Oryzias latipes: one gene and its partner. The protein of the gene in region 1 interacts with the protein of each later gene in a pairwise test. Links are inferred from orthologs where the notes say so. Each region holds a gene or a part of one and is shown on either strand. Other genes may lie near its edges.

What was found.
Region 2: the proteins of usp47 (region 1) and ap4m1 interact in binary tests that used the Homo sapiens proteins (3 or more experiments, as listed by UniProt). The two-hybrid records come from large-scale screens. The link is inferred for Oryzias latipes from reciprocal best matches to the Homo sapiens genes USP47 and AP4M1.

What each region holds. Positions count from the first base shown.
Region 1 is NC_019861.2:20,347,521-20,356,499, forward strand, and holds the start of usp47 (ubiquitin carboxyl-terminal hydrolase 47), read right to left. Parts: upstream 5,707-8,979; 5' UTR 5,456-5,706; coding exon 5,411-5,455; intron 3,359-5,410; coding exon 3,302-3,358; intron 1,851-3,301; coding exon 1,656-1,850; intron 1-1,655. Other genes in the region: clec3a (C-type lectin domain family 3 member A), read right to left, coding at 7,286-7,683, 8,045-8,128, 8,207-8,327. UniProt on the Homo sapiens protein: Ubiquitin-specific protease that specifically deubiquitinates monoubiquitinated DNA polymerase beta (POLB), stabilizing POLB thereby playing a role in base-excision repair (BER). Acts as a regulator of cell growth and genome integrity.
Region 2 is NC_019872.2:23,459,378-23,468,256, forward strand, and holds part of ap4m1 (AP-4 complex subunit mu-1), read right to left. Parts: intron 8,126-8,879; coding exon 8,037-8,125; intron 7,605-8,036; coding exon 7,498-7,604; intron 7,418-7,497; coding exon 7,321-7,417; intron 7,000-7,320; coding exon 6,889-6,999; intron 5,922-6,888; coding exon 5,844-5,921; intron 5,764-5,843; coding exon 5,701-5,763; intron 5,057-5,700; coding exon 4,990-5,056; intron 4,919-4,989; coding exon 4,865-4,918; intron 4,617-4,864; coding exon 4,510-4,616; intron 4,298-4,509; coding exon 4,206-4,297; intron 2,272-4,205; coding exon 2,227-2,271; intron 2,149-2,226; coding exon 2,098-2,148; intron 2,011-2,097; coding exon 1,893-2,010; intron 1,803-1,892; coding exon 1,611-1,802; 3' UTR 1-1,610. UniProt on the Homo sapiens protein: Component of the adaptor protein complex 4 (AP-4). Adaptor protein complexes are vesicle coat components involved both in vesicle formation and cargo selection. They control the vesicular transport of proteins in different trafficking pathways.

The DNA of each region.
Region 1 (8,979 bases):
ATGAACAGAATCCTCTATTTTCTGTCCATCAGTCTTCCCTTTGTTCTCAGTGTTCCCACCGTTTCAAAATGAACATGTTAGGAACTGGCTGCACATTTTATTCTTGTATCTTGCTGTCTGGTTTTAGCGTGGCTATCCTTGCCCGTCTCTCTATATACAGCCACTGATGCCAAAGAGTAAGTAACATAAATCCCCTGAACGCTCCTGCATTCAACCAGAGGCAGTTATTTTGTTATTGGTGTGATGGATTTCTCTTTCAGTCACCTACTTCACTCATAGGCATAGAAGGAGATGAATTAGGTTTACACTTAATTTGATATTAGCATGCAGGAACGAGCCACTTGCAATTAAATGTAATGCCATCTAATGATCAGTCGATATTCATACAAGGAAAATAAGAATGAAAAACAGATGTGCTAACTAGCAGGCCTTCATCTTGTGATCCGCCTGAAAATGTCTAAAGCGAAATAGCTGAAACGAGCACTACAGCCTGTTGCTTAAATATCGATTTCTACACAAATACACCTTTACTTCTATGTGGGTAGCACTGCTAAAATAACAGTGATACTTTTTATGAAACAATTTTATTCTACAATTCCATTCTATTTCACTAAGCATCTACTTATTTATTTTCATTTTTCAATCTAAAACAAATTTTGTTTAGTTATAGAAAACAGTTTTCCTACAACTAGTAGCTTAAATTATCTAGAAGTTGAACTTTGATCAGTAAAATAAAAATAATGACATTAAAAATCAACAGCAAAACTATTGGGGGTCTTTTCTGCGTGGAGTTTGCATGTGTGGGTTTTCTCCGGGGACTTCCTCCCACCGTCTAAAAACATGCTTCATAGGTTAACCGGCTACTCTAAATTGTCTCTTGATGTGAATGCGAGTGTTTATGGGTGTGATATCATGTGACATTGCGACAGACTGGTGACCTGTCCAGGATGTCCCCTGCCTTGGCCCATGAGTGCCAGAGTTGAGCACTGGCAGCCCCATGACACCGAAAGGGACAAAACGGGTTTAGAAGATGGATGGATGGAACAGTAAAAATGTCTTGTGATAGAAGACACTGCCCTGATCAATCATTCAATACCTGATGCTAGTTTAATTTAAGCCTAACAAATCAAGAGTAGTTTAAAGATTTGAAGTCTGTTTCACAAAACATCCAAGGAACGTAACAAACTCTGAAAATCAGTTGCCAAACAGCTTTTCTATAAAAGAACACAGTCATAATAGTTGGCCTACGTGACCCTACAAAATGGGAGACCACAAGAGCATTATTTTGCACCATCTGGCCCGCATTTATCCATGCTGTTTAGTAAAATGTATTTGCACTGTGTTCTAGTGTATTTTTATTTTTTCACATGTTTGTGTCATGGACAGAAACAACAGAATCCTTTTCTATTTTTTTTTCATTTAATTAGCTCATGAAAAATCCAGTCTCTCCTAATAGATAAAAACTCACAAAAAAATACTTGTTGTGAATTTCGCCATTTATATATTATCCACAACTGTTAAATCGATGTGGTGTTTTGTTGTGCAGAGGAATAAACGAAAGAAAGAAAAAACATTTATAGAAACAAAAATCCACTAACATCCTCATCATTGTTAATTCTCCAAAAATATTCAGCCATTAGAGTGACTTTTCTCACCATGTCCAGAACGTTTCCCCAGGCGAGGTCAAAAGTGCCTTTTATGTATCCAGCTTTGTGAGCGACGTCCTCGTAGAGTTTGGAGAGAGTGGTGGAAGCTGGCAAGTTGAGGGTCAGCCTCTCATTGACCGTCTTTGCACTGGTGGTGTCCTGAATGATGCACAGCACCCTGGGCTCCTCAGCTGCATTGTGGATCTGAAAATCAGGAGGACGTACATTCCTTTGATGTACTCATATATGATCCAGCATTTTGTTGAAAAAACAGCCAGTTAGTTGTTTAAAAGCTGTCTTTTAAATCCAATCGTCAGCTAATATACAATACAAAACTCAACCAATGTAGCAACACTTCATGCCTGTAATGACAATATGTTAGACTGAGTACAAAGCATCTGAATCTTTTTTAAAGTATGTAATTTGGAAAACTAATTACCCACAATAAGTTAAATATAATTAATGGCAAATTTTAAATAGATTTGCCATAAATTTTTGCCTATTATATTATATTGTGTTGTATTGTATTGTATTGTATTGTATTAATACACATATTTAATTTTAACTTGATTATCTTACAAGGAATACAAGAAATCTGGAAAACTTCACCAGCACTGTTCAGTTCCAGGTATTTATCTCTGAGTCACACTGGTTAAAGTTTTGGCTAAAGATGTTCTGGATGGATTTTACATCAGTGAATCGGATCAATCAAAATGAACCTATATCGACTATGAATCGTATAAGCAATCACAAATTATGATGTGAATCAAATTGTTGTTCAAAATGAATCATTACACCAGCCATTCACACAAACTAGTCAACTTAATTACCAACCACTGTGGTTTTCAGGGGTTAAAAGAATATTAAGACGCACACTTCAGTTGACACTTTACTAACAACCAGATAAGAAAACCGTGAGATGCTAAATCCAGAAGAAATAAAGTGTTAGAGGTCAAATCTCTAAAACTGAAAGCATGCCATGCAGCTGTTGATTCATGCTTTACTTCACAAACTGTTTGTTTTTCAGGTGGAACCTGAGTTTCAAGGGGAAAAAGCAGCTCATGTCAACATTTAAGTATGACATACTTCCGGGTGTATTGTTTATAAAAAAAAACAAAAAAACAATACACCCGTATAAGGTATACTTTGCATTGATCAAGAAATGGACACAAAAAAGTCCAAGAAAAGAAAAATAAATGAGATGGTACATGACTAAGTTTACTAAATAAAAAAGAAAGAAAAAAAGGCATTTTTTTAACTGTTATCTGTCTAATTAAAAGTAAAATATAATTGTTTTAACTGTAGACTTAATTTGATAAAACTAGTAGAGAGTGATTCTTCTAAATTAAGAACTATTTAAAGTGTTTAATGTCTTTATAATGGAACAGAAATTTCAGATATCTTCTACTTATTTCATATTAGAGAGTTCAGAATTTCTAAAGGATGGTTTATTTCAACAAGACCCAAAGGCCAATCATTTGTAATGTTCATTCCAAACAGATTGTAATCACAAGCTCCATGTATCTCAACATCCATGTTAGAAACTAGCACCTCTAATGACCTGAATGGGATCCTTCTTCAATTTTTGTTTGTTGGTAAACACAGGCATGTTTTTCATGCAACTTTTCAACACCAAGCTTAGTTGTACACTTCACCTGAGAGCGTCTCTTTATTTCATCAAAGATATTCTGGCTGCAACTCCAAAACACCCGCTAACAAAAAGTGCAAATGTGTAATTGTGTAAATTAAAACACCCACAACAAATGAAACACATAAATAAAGGTAACATTTAGAAAGTAATACTATCAAAAGTAAAAACAATCCAGGAACAGGAATCACTTTTGATCTGCCTCGTCTTTTTAACATCTTGAAAATTGAAATAAATATTGCAGTGAAAGAATTTTAATCTAGTTTTTGCCACCTCTTTGGGAGGTTTGTTATGTTGGCAAAATGTGACTGCCAGGTCTTATACAGAAGCTGCAGCTGACAACACACAAGTGTATTATGAGATTAAAGGTTATTTTTATCATGGATATAATCACAAGGTGCTAACATGAAGCCACATGTAACAAGAAAGACAGGCGGCATTTGTAGATCTAAGTAATAACTAATGAGGCAAACGCCTTTTTTTTTACTACTGTTCGATAAAAAGGAAAAGATTTCTATAGAGGAAAACACAACATCATTTTATATTATTAAAGCTGAACTGTAAACAATAGAATGAGAGGGGGATATGAAACTGTTAACTTTGAAAATATAAATTCAGATTATTAATTATTTAAACATTTCCCAAAAACCTTCCAATGAGGCAACATTGGCCTAAATGTTTTTTTTTTCATCCAAAAAAACAAGATTTTTATTTAAAGAAATACAATAAAAGTGTTGTAACCTTTTCTTCATCATTATTTTTGTAAGGCTTAAAACAGTGTGTTGATTTAGTGTTAAATGGGAAAAAAGCTCAGGTTTTTCTGTTTTTTTTCTTTCATTAAATATCCATCAATTTCCAGTCATTTTAAGTTGTTTAGCATTTCCACACAAAAACCAGCACAGTTGAATATATTCACACAAGAATGAATATATAACACAACATAATAAAATTGAATAAGAATTACATTGCCAAAATGATAGTCATGTTTGAATTGTAAGATATAAAAAATAATGTGCAGTGTAATTTGTTTACAAAAACATAATGTTATTCGTTGGGTAATATGATTTTAAAAGTGACTATCGCCTGGGTTAGAGCTGCATCATCATTAAGTCAAGTAAATCAAACTGCCATAATGGGTCGTACGTATACTTTATCATTGCATTGTTTGTAAGCTTGCTTCTATGTCTTATCAACGAAGACTAAATAAATAATGAGAGTTAATTAGTCCCGTTAAACATGAAATAACACGATTAAACATGGAAACAGGTGCTTTCATGAACATGTCGGTCAGCAAACAGACCATAAACGAGCAATCAACAGCAAAGTCCCTAAACCTAAACCTAGCTTTGTCGGATTTAATTTATCAAAATACCAGACATTTTTCATAAGTGACAGCATCATATTATTAGCAAAAGTTCTGTTAATATACTAAGCTTCTTGGTGAACAATTTACTTTTCTCAACATAATCATAAACTATAAAGACAGTCAGAATCAAAGTAAATAAATCCGTTTGAATTTAAAAAGTACGGCAATGCTTTGACTTTTTCGGACAGGTTACGTTATTGGGTTGCTATTGTTTCAGAAGTAAATTAAAAAATATATAAATGTTTGTTTTTAACCAATTATTGTCAGTTACAGTTGCAACTGACCAGATTAAAGACCTTAGCAAGTCAATCCTACAAGCTAACGTTATGCAAGTTTAGCTAACTAATGTTGACAAATATGAATTGCCTCTCGGTTTTTAAATCGCACAGTGTCAAGTGTCAAGATTTTACAATTTTAGAACATTTCTACTGCTAAGAACCTATACTGAGGACGACCCAACTAACCACACAACATATTTAAAATGAAGCAACCAAAACTCAATCTACTTCATCTATCTAAGCTAAAGCAAAACTAGCTGCTAATAGCAGCAGTTAGCCGTGTCATCATAGGCCGTTCAAGTCATTTTAAGCTAACTGTTAGCAGTTGAGTTGGCCACTACCCGACACACCAAGACCATAACTCCTAAAGTAGAGCAAAAGTTTAATTATTTGTGTGACCGGGGTGGCAAGGTGGCAGCTAGTACACAAACAGAACATCTCCGATCTAAACATGGTTTTGTATTAACCTCACCTCTTTGGGTACGAACTGGGTCTCCTCGCTAGGCACCATTTCCATTTGTACCGAGTTTTTAGAGCATCTATCCGGAGAAAGATGTCAGCGGATAAACTCTCCAGCAGTGCACACAAACATGGTTTGTTTTCAGTTTGTTGTCAATTTAGATGCTTGGACACAAAAATTCAACTTGTCAAAAGTTGCAAGCTTATCAAAGTGATCGCGACACTGTCAGCTTCACTGCCAGAGCGTGAACTGTCCTACTCCAACTGAAGAAAAATGGCCGGTCTGTTTCTCCGCGAGACTTCACCCCACTCGGAGGCTTTGACGTCACATCACATCCCAGAGCGTGCGTGATGGCGCTGACAGGAAGTAAACAGTCACTGATGAATTTGTCAAACTCTTACATTTTAATACATCTGATTTATTAGATTAAATAAAAATAAAAAAAAAATAAAAATTAAAAATCACTGCCTAAAATATGTCTGTTTTCACTGGCTTTTGCAGATATGGCATTGTTAAAGGTGTGTACAGTCAATTAAGAAATGTATTTTCTTAACAAGAAAAATATAAAGCTCATTAATACGAGGTCATTTCATCTATATGAAGAACATTTGTCACTGAATGATTTTCCTCTTCATTTAAATACATTTTTCATTCATGTCAATTAGGAGCATAACGATTTATTTAAACGAATTGCTTCATTTCATAATTTGTGGTTGCTGATATGATTCATAATCAATGGTGGTTCATTATGAACGATACGATTGGATTCAACAGAGCTAATATCAGTCCAGGACATGTTTAGACAAAAAATAGTGTGACTGGGTATTGAACAGTGCAAGCAAAGTTTTCCAGATTCCTTGTAGTTCTTGCAAGATAATTAAGTATAGGTTAAATGTGTTGTATACACTAATAACTTTATAGATTAAAAATAACCCAACTCCAAGGTTAAGAAAGAACTAACTTTTTGGTGGGTTATTTTTTACTACAGAAAAGGCAGGAAAAAATCATAAAAACAAAAAAAAAACAGACAAAATGAATAACCAAAGGAATTTGAATTCAGAAATGCTTTATTTCAAACAATCAAAACAAAAATAATAGTAAACTTAGCAAAAAAAAAAACTTGTCATGTCAGTTCCATTTTTTATAATGGAATTTTTAAAATGGGTTTTACCAAATGGATGTAATGTTTGGATATCTTTAAAATATCAGATACAGATTTTAAAGCATGCTATTTAAATATTCTTTGTCTTCAATACGGTCCATAAAAGTAATTTTTTTTTAATGGGTTTGTTGTTATGTATCATTCTAACAGTTCAGTGGGTGTATTCTAAAACCATTTTTTCTTAAAATTAAAGACATCTATCTCCAGATTAGCAACGTCTGTGAGAATTTGTATCCTTTCGGTTTAGATTTATTGGTTTTGTTCTTCAATCATTTTTGTGCCTAAATTTTCTTGCTCAGTTTCTGTTGTAGCTTTTCCCCCACTGCACAGTGAGCACACAGGGTTTGTCTTAAAATAATACAACTGATTTCTTCATTTAATACCACTCAACCATGGTTTTGGTTGCACCATTTTTTGTTGTCACTCTTTTGTTCTGTCATATTTCAGGTTTTGCTTCTCCAAGTCATGGTTAAGTTTGTTAAAGCTCAAGTCACTATGTATTGTTGTTTCCTTTGTGTTGATCTTCCACAGTCAGGTTCACATGTTAAGCAGTAACGTCATGTTCTGTACAGACGTCACCAAAACTGGAAATCATACAGGCAAACAGAAAAAAGTGGCTTGAAATTTTAAGAAATACATAGATCAAAGTTAAAATGTTTTGAAAAATGTTAACTTTTAATAATAATTACATTTTGTTAATCCCAAATGACTCAGTGCTGCCTCTTTCAGGGTATTACAAATTCACAGATGTACTTCTTCAGGCTGCGGCACACCTCGTCCTGCCACTTTCCTTGTGCTGCCACTGAAAGAGCAACACAGCTCTCCCTCTTCGTTCCTGTGGGCTGCTTCTTGGAGCGATCCCAGTTGAAGTAGCTGACTGGCATGCTGTTGACATCAACATACTGACCTTCCTTCACTATGTCTGACACACCAATCCAAAACTCACTTGATCCTGGGGCACTCCTCTTTGCATAATTTCTCAAGTCGCCGTTTTCCATCATGTCTCGTGGCGTTGCCAGAGTTCCTCCCTGAGCGATGCAGTCCTCATTTGCATCATGAAAATGCTTGGGTTCCTCAATTGTAAGATAGCACTTCCTGTGTACTTTGATGCCCCGCAGACACACTGGAAACACATATAACTTCTTTTAGGTGAGAACTCAGCTGTAATATTGTTGTTTGACACACCGTTTACTCATTAGTTACAAAATTATCCAAAATAAATCTGAAACCAATTGTGTTCACATTTTCCAATGTGACGTTCAGTTAACTGCTTTTTACTTAAATAATGTGTGCTGCTGCCCTCCAGTGGTGATAAACAAAAAAAAGTTGAGGATAGATTTAGTTGAATTAATTATTACTCTTAATTTCTAAAATATGGTTTGGCATGACAGCATTAGTAATCATTATAAATAGCATCTTATATATGATTCAAGCATTTTACCAACTGTCCTAATTTATTCATTCACAAATGTTCAGGGTCTTACCTGTCTGCAACGCCTGCTTCTCCTTCAGTAAATGTACTTCTTGCCACAACTTCTCAATCTGCGACTTTACATCATCATCCTCAGCTGCATGCCGACAAGAAAACAATCAAATCAGCCCCGACAAACATGGATTCATGAAGAATAAGTGGCTTAAGCCTATACCTCCAGCCTGTCTGGGAGAAATGGCCTTCCTGGTACGAGATGGACTGCTGCAGCAAAGCAAGGAAAAGCTGAGAAGGAGGACAGGCGCAGCTAGATGAGCCATGACTCTGGTACACACCATGTACTGCTGTAAAAAGAACCGAAAGACACTGGAGAGGAATATATCTTTATACTACCCCTGTGTATGCCTGTCTGGGTTCTCTCCCTCCAGTGGCTCCAACCCTGTTTGTGTTTGCCCAAACATCAGGAGGGGGTGAGGGTGGCAAAAGGGTGGAGGCAAAAAATGGTTTGCCTGTGTGGGGTTTATTTTTAGATAAATATTTACTCTGAACAAGGTGCACTGAGCAGCATACCTGTTTATTTCCAAACTAACAGCAAACGTATTGACTGCTTGACTGATGCTCTCGTGAAATGTTTGCAACAAATGTGTGGCTTTACTTTAACAAAAATCTTCTAACGGAAAGCAAACAATGCAATTTCTTATTATTAATAACAACTAATATGTTACAAAGTACAATAGAAATGTAATTAATGAGTAACTTAAGAACTTAGATAACTTTTAATGATCCTTAAAAAATCATTTTGTGAATATTTTGTTTGCTTTATAAAGAAAATGAAATTATCTTAAGAGATAAACCTGTTTCCCTTTAGGTCAAAATGGCAGAAAGTTGTATTAAACTATGTCTACCTAGATTATATGACTTGTTGACTGCATCACAAAGATGATTTCTTTGTTAAGACCTGGGAACCTTTTCTGTTATTGACAGATTAGA
Region 2 (8,879 bases), on another chromosome or scaffold:
TCACATTTGTTCTACTAAACATGGCAGTGGGTCACTTTTTACCCACAGGACAACACAAAGGGGCTTTTACATTTTCAAAAAAAACACATTTCAGTTTGGTCAGACAGGACGTGTGGTGTATCGGCAAAGCATCAGGATGGGGGAGTGAGCCCATTTACATGTACGCCAAGCATAAGATTAGAATCTAATTAGTTTTACATGTATGTAAACTAAACACAGAAAGCAGAAAAAACAAATCAGAGCTGTGGAAGCCGGAACTGCATCATGTTGTCTGTTCTGCAGACATTCATCAACACATTCGTAAAGGAAAGCATGTGAACCTCTGCAGCACCAAGAACACGTCTGTCATTGAGCACATGTGATCGCTGGAAATCCTTCTGAAAATGGACAAAAACAAGCGAACTGGGATAACTGATGCTCAGATCTCCAAGGTTCATGGAACGCACCACCGGCAGCCGCTTAGTCTGAAACACCAGCAAACAGAAATGCATTCGTCCAGATGAACAGAAACGCAGTAAAAGAGTTCACCACACCCGCTTCCGTCATGGAAAGGTCACCAGAGCTGACGTTGCTGCAGAGAGTCCTGTAGTTAGGACAATGCTGGAGACTTTAGTCTCTGTATGCTCACCTCTGGCTTCCAGGTGGTTTCAGAACGTGGACTCCACTGAAAACTGGAACAGACTCTGGGGAGAGCCTGGTCTTCTTCTGTCAGAGGCAGCTGCTGCTCTGAATCATGAAATCATTAGAAGAATGAAGCAGCAGGAAAATGCTGGCTGACGAGCACAGACCCAGGCTTTACATTCGTGTGATTCCTTTCCTTGTCCCGCTGGTAAGTGTCACCAGTTGTGTAGCTGTTTGTGTCCCCACCTCACACAAACACACACAAACTTCCCAATCTGGACCTGGTATAATCTTTGTTCCATGACTGACTTCAAACATTGATCGAGCTGAGAAAGGCTTTTCCTCTGAAGTCCTGACCCAGCCTCTCCAGAACTGCACAGAAACGCTTCCATGCGTGTGTCATGTGATATATTTTCACTCAGTAGATTTTGTTTATGATCACCTCAGTGATAGTTATGGATTTTTCAGTGATTGTTGTGGGAGGATCAACAGTTTTGTCCATCTTTGTGAAAAGAGAATTTAAAATAGACCCAATAAGTCGTACGACAGACTTCAGGACATTTTTCTGATCAGTGTTTGGTTTCGGTGGATGGTTTTGTTCTGGTGTGCTGGTTCTCGAGTATAGCTCTGAAGCTGAGCACGGCTGAACGGGTGCACGTCAGACATGCCTCCTCCTTTTCCAGGCTCTTCCAGGATATTTTCCTTACTGCATCCTGTAGATCCGCCTTTGAGATCCGGAAAGTCATTTTCACCCGCTCAGCGCTGCTGGGTTTCCTGTGGGGCTCCAGAGGAAGAGGAGGGGCAGAACCACGGGGCAGGTTCATCTGTCCCCTGGTTCTGAGCAGAGAGCTGAACCGGCGGCTGCTCATAGAACAAACTCAGCCTCTCAACTTTTTCAGAGCACAGCTGTAACAAGCAGCTCCATCCGGGCACAACAGAGGCGGTGCCGCCCAGAGTAACTCGGTTCCGGTCAGCATTTGCCGCTGCGGTCAGATCCGGATGCTGTAGGAGTCAGAGTGTGTGACATATCGGACCCAGCGCTGCGATGGGGCCGGCTGCACTGGTGACAGGCGCAGGAAGCGGATCTGCAGGCCAGTGGCCGTGAACTTGGGCAACTCGAAGCTCAGACCGACTGGACCCACCTCCAGCATGGAAGCCGAGCTGAGGCCCGGGACGTCCAGCTGAGAGCAGAGGGACAGGGGGCCAGAGAGAGGTTGATGTGAGCTCTGAGGGGGGGGTTGACAGGAGTTGGTGCTGGGCGGGGGGCTCACCTTAAACAAGGCGGACAGCTGCGTTCCACCGGCCAAACGGGGGATCTGCCAGACCACGGCCCGGTTCTGGGACTGCAGCTCGGCGCTCTGATCCGGACTGCTGAGCTCCTGAGACAAACTGGACCACAGCACAGAAGAGAGTTCACACAAACAACCCCCCACGTCCAAATATCTGCACCCCCCAGGTGTGGATGGAAAGCCTTACCTCACAGCTCCTTTTGGGACGGGGACGGAGGCGCACACGTTCACGGCGGAGCTGTAGAGAAAACAGTGACATCATCATCATCATCATCCGCATCCTCCTCCTCCTCACATGTTCAGCAGGAGAACTGACCTCTTGGGGGGCAGATCACAGCGGAGCTTCAAGAACAGGATCAACCTGTAGGGGGTGGGGGGTAAGTCACTTATTATGGTCACAGGGAGAGGGGTCACAGACAGGGCACACGGGCGCACTAAATATTGTGACCCCCGCAGGTCAGAGGTCACAACGTAAGAGCATTTCTCTGGAATTATGCAGTCCCACCAATGCCACATGCACGACAGCTGTGCTCTTACAAAACCTGACAGTTGTGGAAGATTTCAGAAGCTCGTCCCAGCACCCCCCCAACATAAAGGTCTGAATTCCACGGTTCTAAAAGCTTCCAGGGGATTCTTCTGCAGGAAAGAGTTACAGTCCATACAGGTGTGATCATAGAAATGCCCCTGTTAGAACATAAATCTACCTAGCAACAGCTGCCATATTTAATTACAGCGAGTGATGAGGGCTCGTTGTAATCTGATTACAATTTGATCTGTGAGTCTGAACTAGAGGGCTGCATTGGGATTGGGTCCCGCCGGGTCCCGCGGGACCCAACGCAAATCTCGCGGGTTTGGGCGGTTTGAATTGTACTGCGGGCGGCAAAAAAAAACTCTGCGGGATCAGTTTTGCCATGAATATCTCATGAATGTATAATAGCGGACTACGTTAGGCTGTGCGGCTGTTGGAGTCTTATGTACTGAAGCTCCGTGAAGGCACCAGGTAGAGACGCCCAATGGCCACTGTCATCTAACCTGTTGTTGGGGGTGTGCAGCGCCCCGCCCCGCCTCTTAGAAATTGTGTTCTTTAAAGCCTGATACCGCGGTCGCGTATGGGCGGAGCTATCAGCTAAAGTTCTGGTCTGATCGCTGCATGGAGCGATGTGTGCATCAATGCATGGTAGACACGAAGAATGTGGAGAGATCAGGTTTATTATTTTAAAGAGTTCTGCTTGATAATCATGTTTCCATGTTTGAGTTCATAGAATCATCCCAGAGAAAGTCTCTGCTTCAACTCCCGCAGTGAAAGCTGCGTCTCAATCTGACGCCGTGTTTCCATCTCTCTGACAGAGTTTGAAGCCAAAGCCCCTCCCCCGCCTCTTTACCTGCTTTTCCTCTCTACCTGTTCACCTGTTCACATCCTCTGCAGCTTAGAGTTATTTTCCCCGCGCTCCCAGTGTGTTCTACACAGAGAGCGCAAAATACGGTCATAGCAGGTTAACACGTTAGTCGGAACGCTCTAGCGCAACAGAAGGATGAAAGAGCTGTCAATCTATCTGGCAACACTGCGCGGGATAAGGAAGAAGCAGAGGTTTCCTGACAGGGACATGATGTCAGTTGATGAAGCAGAAAAGAACCTCAAACGAGGTTCATCGTGTTCAGATCTGCGTGCCAATGCCCCACTGAGGGGCAAAACAGCAAAAACGGGAAAAGGCTGAAGCTAAAAAAAAAAAAAAGTATTTTTCCGTCAGGAAAAAATTAATTCATAGATTTTCAGCTCTGTTGAACCATTACAATGTTTTTCTTCCTGCAAATGACTTTGACCTGCATCTATCCCAGCTGGTTCAGCGCGCTTCAGGCCGTCTGTCGTGGACAAACAATGTCGCGGACACACGCACACTTTTTTTACCGAACAGGATTTGTGAAAATATATTTAATGATTATGTTGCACATTACACAAAAGAGGAATGCATGAAAAGATGAGACTGGAGGAGGGACATGAATCTCTGTAATAATATCAATAAAAATACGTGTTTTTTTCTGCGGGACGGGAGACGATACAAAATCAATGCATCTCTATTACTGTGCGGGACTAAATTCTATGAGTTTTGCGGGTGCGGGCGGGAGTGGACATACATATTGCGGGTGCGGGCGGGAGTGTAACGCATACGTTGCGGGAGCGGGCGGGATTGGTCAGAAATTTGGCGGGTGCGGGCGGGAGCGGGATGAAGAAAATAGTCCCGCGCAGGGCTCTAGTCTGAACCTCATAATTAAAGTGGTCCGCAGGTTCGGTCTCACCTTCCAGTGCCATCTCGCTCAATGGTTGGGAAAAGCCGGAAAGGCGGCGCGGTCGGCAGGTCGTCGGTCAGCTGGTACTGCATCACGGTTTGCTGCGGGGGGGGGGGGGGGCAGAGGAAGAGGAGGATTCAGCACTGACAGATGAAGAGCAGAAATGGAACAGAATAAACTTTGGTAATGAGATGATTTTCAATGATAAAGCATCTCTTAGATATTTGCCTAACAGAACAAAGTGGGAACGCATTAACGGGTCTGTACAGAAACAGTCACCACACATTCCTGCCGGGTCACTGGACCGCCTCACCTCTCCCTGGCTGGGGCAGAGCCGGAGGATCCGGTGGCTGTCGAACTCGTCCAGTCGCACGCCCTGGTGGAAACTGCACCTGTCCACTCGAACCGCCGCTCCATAACCTGAAGACCCACCAGAACCTGAGGTCAGCTCCTCTGCAGAGCCACAGTCTAAACGGGAACCGTCAGCTTGTTCGGTTCAAAGCTGGAACTTTTAAAAAACAAGAAATAAACCCACTGAAAAGGTTACTATGACCCACCCCAACCAAGTCATGCCCCGCCCTCCAACAGTTAGGACCGCGCTGAAGCATGAGGAGACCCCCCTCCTGCTTCCATTTGACCTGAACGTTGAAGAATCGTGGAGACCTTACCTCTGAGCTGGGACTTCCCGATGCTGAGCTCCTCGTTCAGGCCGATCCGGATCTCTGAAAGCAGACCGACACGTGAGTGAAGGTTCACTCCAGGTGACCCTCAGGTGACCCGGACTCTCACTCACCTGAGCAGCTGGGCATAAAGCACTTGACTCGGATTTCCCCCTCCACGTCCGCCTTCATCAGAACCCCCTGCAGAACAGAGCAGCCAGCATGAAGTTTTTTCTTTTTCTTGTTTGTAAAACAAGGCGGCAGGTTTTTTGGCAGCTGCCGCTGGCTTGAGCATCTCACAGACCGACATTTTTCCCAACACGACAGAGCGTCTCTGTTTTCAGGTGTTGAACAACACAACAAACCCTAACCCCTAACCCTAACCCAACAAATAAAATAAAAAATTCACCAAAAATAAATCCTCCTGAAATTTAGAGAGCTCAGTAGTTACCGTGTCGGCTTTAGCAGGACTTCCTGCTGTCTAATCCTCTGATCACACACAGTTCTGTTTTCTTTGAATAATCTACACTAAACTGGATTATAATAATCCTAACCTTGTGATTCTGCTTGGTTGGACAATAGAATGACCAGTTTTATAGATAAACTGAATTGTATGTCTATTTTCAGGAAGGGCAGGGCTGGTGATGTCATATCCTGCCATGAAAACCTGTGAAGAAGTGAGCTCTGAAGAGGCCCACATAGACACCGTCTCTCCCACCAGGACCAGAGTTCCACTTAGATCCATACTCCGGTCAGAACTTTGAGGACCGCTGGATCCGTGCTTGTGGTTTTTCTGAACCCGAAACGCCTCAGGACCTGCAGAAAGCCTCAGCTGATGCACTCACATTGGAGCCCACCACCACCGACATCCGCTCCACCACGTCCGCAAATATCTCGCTCCGCCCCCCCTGGAAGACAGAGACGGTTGGAGTCGGATGACTTCGTGGAAAGGCGGGGGTCAGACACCTCCATGGAGAAGTGACCTTACCTGCTCCCTGCTGGCCTGGATGGGTCTGGCAGCTGCGGAGCTCGGAGCCACTTTGCTCTGCTGAGTGTCTGCGCCGAACTGCACAGAAACCACCACGACGTGAGCAGGAGCCGCGCTAAAGCTACACACACAACAGGTGTGTGCGGCGCTTTCAAGAACCGTGGCTTTTTGAACACGCTTTTTGCATACGGTGCACACGGGTCTGTGGCTAACAGATTGTGCATGCGCTCACAGTTGGAAGAGGCTTGGTGTGAAATGTCAAAGCCGTGCAAATTCCGCAAATCTAGCTCCAGCCTTTTTCTTTCACAGCTCTATTCTAATTTATGAAAGACTTGGGTTGTGTGCACTATATAGTGCGCTCGCCATTTTGTAGAGCCGTCCGAATCTACAATTCCAAAGATCGAGTGCCCTAGAAATTTCCCAGAAGTCTCTGCGAAACAGCAGTGTGGATCGATGCTCACTAGATCAGTGAACATAGACCACAATGCATTACGCTGGAACCATTTTTTAAATAAATCATCAGCGTTTTTATCTTCAGAAGACGGTGGACGCATAAATAATCACCACAAAACGCTCATATTAATTAGATTTGAACTTCATTAAATTAATGACGTCATATCCGCCGTTAAAAAAAAATAGAAGTAGTTAGCACGGTGTCCGAATTGCTTTTAAAATCTGGGGTATATAGCTTTTTAGTAGTTAGAGGTTAGGGTGGGAATTCAGACTTAGACTTGGTGACATGAAGTTCCAGCCAGCAAAAGCTGCTATTAAAAGTTTCTTCTTCGTGATCCATGTTCAAACGGTCAGCACTTCCGTGTTTTAAAAAGGGTGCAATGCATATGTCACCACCAACTCTGAGTTCCTGCTTGGTCAAACTGTTCAATGTCACCGTGTTTTGTATGTAGAGAATGCCATATTTTTGAAGCCTGAAACACGCCTATATGTGCGTTTACATAGACTTTGGATATGAAGTAGTCACTCAAACACACATTTCCGAGCCCGGTGTAAACACAGCATGACAGTAAACCCATGAGAAGCAGCCTACCAGGCCCACGTTACTGAGGTCGAAGAGGCTGAACGGACGTGAGCTGACCGCCTCCGACTGCAAGAAGTTCTTCAGCATGTCAGAGGAGGTGGTCTGGATGTGACCGTAGTCCTGCAACACAGACAGACGGACGGACAGGAAACCTGCATGATAACCACACAAGAGACGCATCTTTAGCTGAGCTCCTCAAACTCATTTAACCTAAAATGTCCTCCACTTTCACTGGTTTGTGCAGGCGGTGATGCGTTCACTGTCCCGCCTGCTGCTCTGTGTTTCTGAATGTTGACACTTTAAACAAACAGGAGTCAAAGCTGGTTCCACTGCAGAACACAGCTACCCAGCTTCACCCAAACATCTCATCTGGTGACCAACAAAAGCAACAAAATTCAGCAGGAAGGACGCTCCACCACAGCCCCAAAGTCAGGCACTCACCAGAACCTCGTCCAGCAGCTCATAGATCAGAGCAAAGTTCATCTGAACCGACTTCTCTGACAGGCCGCCGCAGTAATCCTTCACTAGCGCCGCCAGCCTGGAAACACAGAGCGTCAGAGTCCTGACAGCAGAAGCCAGCGCGCTCTGCTGGAGGGTCCAGGAAGCTGACCACCAAACCTGTTCAGGAATTCAACGATGGTGAAGGGCGAGGAGTCGGCTGAAGTGGTGGCGACCCAGTAGAGGCCCCCCTGCCTGATGTGCAGGAAGTGGAGGTCTCTGAGCGTCTGCAGGAGAAAAGCGCAGACTTATAAAAGCAGCCAGACATTATTTCTGCAGATCTGGGATTATTTTACTTGGTGATATAATCCCAACTCCTTCATCCAATAACCAAATTTATTAAATAACAAAAGTAGATTTCCCCCTGAAAATACAATCCTTCCCAGCATGCATCCACGCCATCTGAATGCTTTGTAGTTTTACGTCTGGGATCTCAGGGTAGTGTTGTGTATCCAAGGCAACAAGAGTCTCTTCCTCCCTGAGTTCAAACAGCAGCATTGTGTCGTTTATTTTAAAGACACATTCACACTACAATTGTTAGCGCTGCCATGTTCACGGAGTTTCAGAGTTTGTTAGCGTACACACGGCCCTTAAGGGCATCTAAACGTGCTCCATAAGAGCTGCAACAAATAGAAAAGTTCCGCTGGAGGACAGGTTACCATGACAACCGGAGGCTGGTCTCCAGGTAGCGCCGTGACCTTCTGGTAGAAAACGTTGACCACATCATCGTCCCCCGTCTCTCCGCGGACTGGAGCCAGGGTCAAGGTAGACTCAGACTCATGCCTGACGGATGCACTGAGGCGCATGTCCTCCAGAGCAGGGATGCTCCGCCTCTTTTCAGCCGTGGATCCCATTACTGGCTTTGTTTGCCCAAAGCAGCGAGAACAGAGAAGCTGTGGGTCGCTCAGGATGGGAGAAACGTCCAGTTTGAAGGATGTTCCCAGCAAAGACCCCCCCACCCCCAACCCAATTATCTGGTTATGATAAAAACCACCGTTATTATTGAAAACCTTTGGTGGACCGTGCATAACACACCTGGGCCTTCAGCAGTGCTACGTCTGAATCACTCAACCCCTCATGAACCAGCTCAAACTGTCAGCTTGACAGACACAGTGGACACGGGGAGGGTCACGATTCACTCAGATTTTTCTGATGGAGATCAGTGGGAGATTTTCCTGCTAAATCCTCCATGGAGTACATTACAGTCAGTCTGCTATAAACTGAGAGGGAACAGATCATTCTCCATGTCTCTGTGTCAAACTGGACAAGGAAGCATGTGACTTCCTGAAACTTCTGTCCAATCAGAGGGTCTGAATACTGTGACGCTGTCTAAGCCTGCTAGAAGGCCCTGCTGACACCAACTCAAAATCTGATTGGATGAGGGAAATTAATCTCCGACATTGATTTTGCATTAGAGGGCCTGCAGAACAGATAGTGAAGGCCTCTGTAGCTCTGACCCTGCCTGGCAACAAAGGAGAGCTGGAATGTGATTGGTTAAATGT